2 linked regions of the Nothobranchius furzeri genome follow. The protein of the gene in region 1 interacts with the protein of each later gene in a biochemical or structural test. Links are inferred from orthologs where the notes say so. Each region holds a gene or a part of one and is shown on either strand. Other genes may lie near its edges. The genes, in order: gnao1b and rgs4.

Region 1 (4,521 bases):
TCATTAAGCTGGTATTCTCGGGCACGGTTGAAGCACTCCTGAGTCCCGGCGTCGGCCCATAAACGCTTCATAGCAGCGAGAAGCTCTGCGGAGTACGGCTCCGTGTCCTCCATACGACTGACGACATCACAGACCAGCTTGGCATCGGCCTGGATGAAACATGTTTCATAAGTTCAGAGGAGCAGAAGAAAAAATGTCTGCTTGTTAATTATTTACCAGCAGCTCAAACGACTTTCTGGGATGATTTGCAGTCATTTCTTTACTGTCACAGGTCAAATATTCCCAGAAAATGTTTTTTTATCTTTAGGAAAAGCAAAGCTAATCTTTAGAAAACTTGGTAGGATATGAGTGAGACTAACTTTCCGGTCCTTGTCTCCAAACTCAATCCCGAGGGAATCCATGGCTCGGAGGATGGCTGCCAAGCTCTGGATGGTGTTGCTGTAGACCACTGGCTTATACTGCTTCACATCATCCCCAGAAAAGCCATCTTCATGGATAATCCTGCATGCGTACGGAGATATTATCAAAGCCTGGACCGAGCAGGAAAAAAGTTGCAAATGTCCATATGTTCCTGCGTTACAAAACAGCTATCTTGTTACAATAAAAGCCCCAGGTTTTTATGAAACTCAGTAGGCCTGCGTGTGTGTGTGTGTGTGTGTGTGTGTAGTGATTATTTTATTATGTTTGTTCTCATCCTCTCCCCATGTTTCTCTCATCTAAGCATGAGCCTAACGGGAAATGGTCATATTCTCTCTCTGCGATGTGTAACCGGGCAGTAATGTGATATTTCAGTCATTTATAATTCATGAACTGAAATCAATCAGACCACTGATCAATCACGGCTCCACAACTCTGGACTGTTAAACTTCTTACAGCATTAAAGCATCCATCAGCGGCACATCTTCACCCTGACCAGATCTATAAAACATCCTCCAGAAGCCCACTCCCACAGCTACTTCATTCTCACCGCCGTACAGCAAGGAGGGGTGGGGTTAAAAGAAAAGATGTGGGATGATTGTTTTCATCTCATCAGGGCACATTATGAAAAGATGTTTCACAGCCGACTACAGCCACCTGGCCTGAATCTCCAGCACCATCATCACAATTAACAGTTTTATGAAATACAATAAATTGACCCTCAGGGGAGGGGGGGTGGGGATGAGCTGAGGCTGAAGCTTTATGGAGCAAACAGATGAATATTATCAACTTGAACATTTGGAAAGACTAAATGCTAATAATAATAATAATTATTATTATTATTATTATTATTATTATTGTTGTTGTTATTGGTTTTAAAGAATAACTTATCAGCAGTAGTTAAAAAATAAACCGCTGATGTTTCTACAGCAGCCTACTTGAGTAATTATTAAAATCTACAACGCCCTTTAAATTGTTCTTGAAGTCAACTCGTCCCTGTTAGTTTGGACATGACTCCACCGTCTCGCTCATGGGCCAAACCAGAGAAGCTCGTCTGGATGTGAAGATGATGGTGATGAGGATGAGGCAAAGAATCACAGCAAAGCCCAGTGCATGAACCCTCCGATACCTAGACTTTATGACCCAGAGCATGTAGTAAAACCCATCCATCTGCTGCTGGCCCGTGGCTAAAGCAAGCCCGGAGAGTATTTGTAAACACTATTTGGACCAGCATCTTGGTTCGGAGCAGAGCAGTAAGTTATGGACAACCAGGGAGCTCTGGGAGGGTAATGAAGAGGAAAAAGGGAGGGTGCAGTGAGTCGATGCAGAGTGCAGAGCAGAGCAGGAAGGAGGAGACACTCAGATGCTGCTCACAAAAGAGCTGCTGCATGGTTGACGGGACAAAATGTGAAAGAGCTCTGGTTTTTTGTGCAGAAACATCTAGAAACTTGACTAAGAGGTTTACATGAAACAAAAGCAGTCGTTTAAAACACCAAAGAGTCATTTAGCTCAGACACGAAAAGGTTTAGATGCGGTTTTAGGAGCCATATTTCTGCGTAAATCCGCTTTATAGGCAAAGTACTCCCGGCGATATCAGGCACTTAAAGCCATTAAGATTAAAAGCAGAGGTATTCACTAATGGAACAGCAGTGACCTCACTGTAATTCACACACGCACGCGCGCACACACACTGCACACACACACACACAGACACAGACACACACACGTCCCCAGTGGCACACTCCCCGTAGTCAAGCAAAACCTTCGTTAACTACATTTCAGCACCCCGGCAGTGAACAGCACCCTGGGACGCACCGGCGGCCTCCGCAGCCCTGCTGACGGTCTGCAGGAGGTGCTCGAGTCACCGGTGCTCCTCCGGGGCTTCGGCCTCTCGGAAACATGGCGGCTCAACCTGCCTTAGTGCTGACAGGGGAGGCGCAATCTCAGGCCTTTCACTCCGGCTGAGTTGGAGAATACCGATATGATATAAATAAATAAACAAATCAGGCTGACACTTACTTCATTTGTTTGACGATGGTACTTTTCCCGGATTCTCCGCCGCCTGCAAAGAACGGAGGGCAGAGAGAGAGCAGGCATTGAAATCAGTACCACGGAGAGCACCTCCGCCCCACGCAGTCCCAGCAGCAGCCCCGCGGCCGCGCCGCCGCTTCCCTTACCGAGCAGGAGCAGTTTGACGTCCTTGGCGGCGACCAGCCCGTCCTCCTTCAGGTTCTTCTCGATGGCCTTGCTCCGGTCCAGAGCTGCGCGCTCCTCGGCGCTCAGTGTACACCCCATGTTTCCAGGCGAATGAGCGGTCCCGTCGAGTCCCCAGTCCGCCCTGTCCCTCTCCTGCTCTCGGTCGCCGCGGTGTCTCTCAGTCTCGCTCTCCTCCCGCGCTGTCTGCTACAGCATAGGCCCGGATTCGGAGCGGAAAATAGAGCCGGGATCCCGAAACAGTCTTCTCTCCGTGAATGTGCACTCTCCGTTCCGTCCCCTCTCTCAGAGGGGGGTGGGGGGGTGGGGTCGCTGTGCGCTAGCCTGCAGGGTTGGGGTTGTTGTTAGGCGGGGAGAGCGGGGGGGTCTCGAGCTCTATCTCTCTACAGGGCGGCGCTGGTGATGATGACAGAGAGCACGAGCGATTTCACCGTATACTTTCACGAAGGCTGGCAGGAGGTGGTATGGCAGGCTGTTACCGCATATAATCAACAACGTTTTACATGTCTCCTGTTCAGAAATAGGTCGATTTAAATTACATTTTTGAAAATTCTGATTTAAGGTGGGTTGGTGTGTAATCGGTCACATGGCATCGTATCGAATTTAAAATATATTGCGAGCTTAAAAGAGTTTTAATCATAAGATGGATATGTAAGGCATCGATTGTTCAATTATTTTAGCGGAAATATACATTGCAAGTTTCTAAAAAGGCCGTTTTTATGCTCAGTGAAAATCTGACATATGTCAGTCATTCCTTCTTAAATTATTGAACGCTTCCCACTAGTGTTGTGGGCTTTCTTTTATACACAGATCTAGGCTACATGGTAAAACAATACGAAAACACATTTTATTTAACATTTCTGCTAAAAATTCCAATTCACACGTTTTATACAAACGGTAAGTCAAATATTCCTACCGCTAAAATTAGCTAAATTTGGTCATTTTGCATCAGAAACATTAAGGAAATAAAATTTTCAACAAAAATGCTTCCTAAAAAAACTTTGTCCAAATGTAAAAAAAATATCAAACTTACATTATAAATGAGAAATCATTACAATAGTTTTAATCGCACACACAAGAATTAACTATTTTGAGTTCACGTTTCTATGATACATTTGCTTCCCACACAGGGATGGCCGCGCGAGACTCACCTAACAATCTGGTTTACGTCAGAGCTGTCAAGCTCTAATCACGTCCGGTGAAAGATTTAAATGGAAAAGACTCCTAAATGGCAAATGTTACCCTCCTGCCTGGTGTTACTGGTGTGTTCTTGTAATGAATTAAAATGTCCCAACTTGGCCACCGTCGCTCTTATTCTTGTTCTCCAGGACCTGGGTGACGTTTAATCATGTCAACAACATTAAGTAGGTCTGAAAAACACCCGGTGGTGGTCACGGAACACCAGGTGAACATTTAATTACGTCAAAAATATAGCACGTTAACCGGGTTAAATGCGTTAAAATACTCATTAGTGAATTTATTTTTACAGATTTTAAAGGTGAATAGCAAATTCTACACAAGGTGGGTGAGAAACTAAAAATAGATTATTGATCACCTGATGCTTGTGCGAAATAACAGCACTTCACTATAAATTATGATCTTTTAAATTAAAAATTAATTTCACTGCTTAACAGTTTTTCATGGAAATCAAATATAATTTATGCAAATACTTATTAAAAGCAGAAAATTCAGTAGTAGGCCTATAGCGCATATATATATATATATATATATATATATATATATATATATATATATATATATATATATATATATATTTATATATATATAAAACATCAGCCATTTTCAAATTTGTTTTTTGTTGGCAAAAATAAAATATTCTCCTACACTGAGTCAGATTCAAGCAAAAAAAATCACTTAATGCATTAAATG
Region 2 (4,451 bases), on another chromosome or scaffold:
GGAGGCATTGGGTCCCATTTTTTTCAAAGTCTTTGGTATGACCCGACCAGGAATCGAAGCCCTGATCTCCCAGTCTCAGGGCGGTCACTCTACCACTAGGCCACTGAGAAAGGTTAAATACAAAAAAAACGAAATAAAACACACTATCTTGGACCGATACATGACAGGATACAACAGAACAGCGCTACGCCCTCTGTTGTCCTGCCGGGGAATTGCTTGGCTACACTCCCCAGGAGACAGAGAAGTATTAGAGCAAAACGCTTCCGTCAATCCATGCGTGTCTGTTCCTTGCGGAGCTGACGGAGAAGCATGAATCAGGCTTTAGAGTTGGACTTTCCCTCAGACCCCAGCCATTACTATTCCTCTAACCCGAACACTTCTTTAATACATTTGCAGTGGTCTCTAGGAATGCACGGTAAGTCGTTCTCTGGGAGAAAAAAAGCTCCGGTGCACCTGTTTGAGGATGTGGAGTTCAGCTGACAGAAAAAGTAGCTTCAGATGACAGGATTTGGAGTTTAGTCTTCTGAGATTTGGACATCTCTCCTCTGATTGGCTAACAGCAGCATAACTGTACCACTGACTCTGTTTGCTCTGCAACGCTGATGTTTCGTCTCCACAAGTAACACAAGCCTGGAGGACTTCCGCTGTGTGGTGGAGCTGCTAATGCTAACGGTTAGCTTCTACTAGCAGGGACGTTCTCTGCTGTTTCCTGGACGCTAAACCAACAGCAGCCTTCCCCGTCGAGAGTCAAGATGGGTGAGTCCATGAATGTTAAGTGACAGTGTGACGTAGATCTGTCGGGATTTTCTAATCCTAGAGTTTCACCGTCTGTCTTCTATCAGAAGCTAAAGCAACAGGCAGATGTAGGAGACTATTTTCATGTTAAAGTCTGCAGGAAAACTCAGAGCGATCCATTAGAATCAGAAACTGAAACCAGAACGTTTGCGTGACATTCGTGTGAGATTTGCCATTGTCTTTGTGTAACTGACGTTTTACCGTTTTGTTGTGGTTCCGCTCCTCTCCCCCGTCTCTGGCGCCTGGCCGCTTCTCTCTCCCTGCTATCAGCTGATATAAATGTGATTTCTGGACCAGGAAGCTCTTTTAAACTTCTCAAACCTTTGAATAAAACTCATCACCCAAACGTGGAATCAGGAAGTGTGAAACTCAAACACAGAGAAGGTGCTAATGACAAGTTCAACCCTGGAGAACTCCCACTGCTGTTCGCTCAGCCATCGAGGAAAACGCACGACAACGCTGCACGAAAAACCAGATGTTGGTGCAGATGCTGGGATTAAACTTGCTACCACATGACAGAGCTTTCTGTTGTCCTCCACACATGGTGGACTTCACAAGTTCCTCAAACGCCTGGACCACCTGAGTCAGAGGAAAACAGCTTTTGTTTAGGTTAAAGACAACCCCGTCTGCTGCATGTTTCCCCATATCCTCCCTCACTCTCTCCCCTCTCTTCCTGCCTCTCTCCCCCGTCTTTTGTGATTGGCCGGTTTGGTCTCCCCTGCGTTTTGCTGATGTAAATCTCTGCTGGGGAGGGGTGGAGATATGTGCAGCCTGCTTCTGATACTGAAGGACGCTGCTATAAAAACTCGGCTGCTCTTTGCTGACAAAAACCAGAGGCGGCTTTGGATTTTTAAGACTCCAACATGTGCAAAGGGCTTGCTACACTTCCTGCGACGTGCTTGAAAAGGTAAGCCTCTAGCAGTCTGAGCAACAGGTGGACACGGGTGATCAGAAGAGAAATAAACAAATCGTGTTTTCACATTTAGTCGGTGATCGTGCCCTAAATGGAAGATGTTAATTAGGAATTAATTGGCGTAAAGTAGATTTATTTAGTTGCAAACAAACTTTCAGCTTGTAAAAAACTGCTTTTCCAACAGCGCAAAGGACATCAAGCACAAAATAAGCTTCTTGCTGCAGAAGCCAGAGCCTCAAGCAGCCGATCAGAAAGAGATCAAGGAGAAAAGCGTCGCTGCTGCAAAGAGGTGAGAACACTCATTCATCTCTGAGTGGTGTATACTGAAACTCTAATTTCCCTCTGGGATTAATAAAGTATCTTTGATTTGAGTTGATCTTTGTTCAGATTCACACTTTCATCTCTGCGGTAAACGATCTGTCATTAAATCGGAGTTTTCTGGAAGATTTTCATGGATAAATATCCACGAAGGGGATGTGTTGGTTTTAGGTTCTGAACACTGGGCTAAATGACGTCATTGGATTCATTTTATTCTGGGTTAAACTGATTTCTTTATTTGGTTTTAAATGTTATTACAATAAAACAAGGTAAATGCTTTCTATAAAACCTTAAATTGAAACACCTGTAGACTTATTTATCTGAGCTGAAGCTTAAAACTGGACCGTTGGTGAAGATGAATCATTAAACATGGGATTTTTGACCCAATCGGACTTTTTTTTTCTCCATCTTAGAGAAAAATGAAGAGAACATCAGGAGTCTTCCTGCGTTAGATGGACTCAGACGTCCTTTCCACTGAGTGAAAAATCAATGATTTCCTGCCTAAGAGCACTCTGTGTCTCTCTCACTCGTGTAATTGTTTTGTGCCAACTGATTATTATGATTATTGGCTGCAGACTTAAATTTAAAGGTAGTATCTTTGCGGAGGAGCAGGTTTTGTTTGGACTCGGATCCGCCCACAGGTCGTGTTCCCACAGGAAGCCAGTCCTCTATGAGAAGGTGATGGCACTGACCTTCAACACTCAGATTAGGTATAATTCATCCGGCCACCGCCACAGCTGATCGATACCCTGCTCATGCTGTCATGTATGCATATACAGACGAGCGTTTTCATGTGACGGCTGTCGGGGAATCTTTAAGGAAGTTTCATTAACGTTTTAAAGGTCGGATGACACACACCGATGTAATCAGAGATGTCAACACCGATCAGAGAGACGGTGCAGGCGGGTTCAGGCTTTTTCCACCGTGTTTTTAGCTGCTTTTATGTTGGTTTGCAGGGAAAAAATCCCCGTCATGTGAAAATCTCCATATCAGAGAACGCTTCGTGCAGGAATTACATTCTGCAAAAGATTAGAACATTTAAATTAGCAACAGAATGTGAAGGTTTTACACAAAAAAGTACATTTTTCACATAACCCTCCCACTGTCTTTACGGGTGACCCCGTGAGGAAAGTTGACCATCGAGCAGGATTGATGGTTTATCCCTTGAGGTCCACGTGGTGGGCTCACTCCTCACCCCTGCCACGTGGACCCAAGGGATAAACCATCAACCCTGCTCAGTGGCACACTTTCCTGGCGGGGTCACACCCATTGGTACAGTGGGAGGGTTTAAAAAAAGCATCTTTTCCGTTTGCTTTAGGGTTCCTGATGCAGCTGAGGTGGAGAAATGGAAGGAATCTTTCAGCCACGTGATGAGCAGTGACGGTAAGTGAGATGTTTTTTCAGCTAAAGGTTTCAGTCTGGCTCAGACCGCAGGGGTTTTGTCTGATCTTAATTAGAACGTCACCGACTCATCAGTTCGCAGAAATGCAGAAGGTCTCTGCGGGTTTATAATAGTGGGAAAGATTAATCTTCTCACGTGATGTTGGGATCCTGCAGTCCTGGGAGGCTGTTCAACTCTGATAGACCTTGTTTATGTTTACAGTAGCTAATAAAGTTTATAATATCAACAGTGGTGCTCTCCCGTTCATATTTTGAAGGTGTAGCCCTTAAAACAATGTTAGTTCTCAGTGAGCCGCATCCTCGCCCCGCTGCGATGAGGAAACTTGGGGTTTTGTTATCAGAGGGAAGTGGGGGAGGCTTGGATATGGCGCACAAACATGCAAATTGAGCACAAACACACTCAGACACTCCTCAGCTAATTTCTCATGCTCCAGTTTGTAGCTACGTGTCACGCGGCACAGCGGAGAGAACCCTCAGGGTGCTCTGACCAGTGCAGAGTCACTGGTGTCTGTGTGCTTCTGCTCCAACTCCTCTGAGAATCTCTTGAGTGTGTCGATTAAAGCCGTGGAGCAACGGCCTTGCGGGAACGACCCGCTGCGTTCCATGACCTCCTCCGCTGACCTCCAGCATCGTCATTTCTTCCTTCTGCCTGGGTCCGTCAGCCTCCATCGCTCCAATCTCCTGTTGTTTACCGTTCTGTGACCTGAACTGTTTCCACAATCTATCATCTTAGTCACGCTGGACTTTGGAGCGTGCTCTGTTTTGTTTTATACCACTTCTGTCGAGGCTCGGCCCTGGTTCGTTCTCTATCCACGACGAGCCTCTGAATGCAGCTGAATTAACACAGAAGCAAACAATCACGTTATTTAAAAATGCTTTGGACTCCTTTGTCTTCCAGTCGGAGCCGATTCAAAATTTAAAATGATTTGAGATTTGAATGGCATCAGAATTAGTAGCTTTTATGGAAAATATGAAATCATATTTTTGAACTTAATTCATTCAACCAAGTCTTCCATTTTTGGGT

Evidence for each region.
Region 2: the proteins of gnao1b (region 1) and rgs4 form a complex in vitro, tested with the Homo sapiens proteins (2 studies listed by BioGRID). The link is inferred for Nothobranchius furzeri from reciprocal best matches to the Homo sapiens genes GNAO1 and RGS4.

What each region holds. Positions count from the first base shown.
Region 1 is NC_091749.1:60,165,518-60,170,038, reverse strand, and holds the start of gnao1b (guanine nucleotide binding protein (G protein), alpha activating activity polypeptide O, b), read right to left. Parts: upstream 2,863-4,521; 5' UTR 2,713-2,862; coding exon 2,595-2,712; intron 2,480-2,594; coding exon 2,437-2,479; intron 502-2,436; coding exon 360-501; intron 150-359; coding exon 1-149. UniProt on the Homo sapiens protein: Guanine nucleotide-binding proteins (G proteins) function as transducers downstream of G protein-coupled receptors (GPCRs) in numerous signaling cascades.
Region 2 is NC_091748.1:75,874,756-75,879,206, reverse strand, and holds the start of rgs4 (regulator of G-protein signaling 4), read left to right. Parts: upstream 1-1,544; 5' UTR 1,545-1,658; coding exon 1,659-1,702; intron 1,703-1,892; coding exon 1,893-1,997; intron 1,998-3,344; coding exon 3,345-3,409; intron 3,410-4,451. UniProt on the Homo sapiens protein: Inhibits signal transduction by increasing the GTPase activity of G protein alpha subunits thereby driving them into their inactive GDP-bound form. Activity on G(z)-alpha is inhibited by phosphorylation of the G-protein.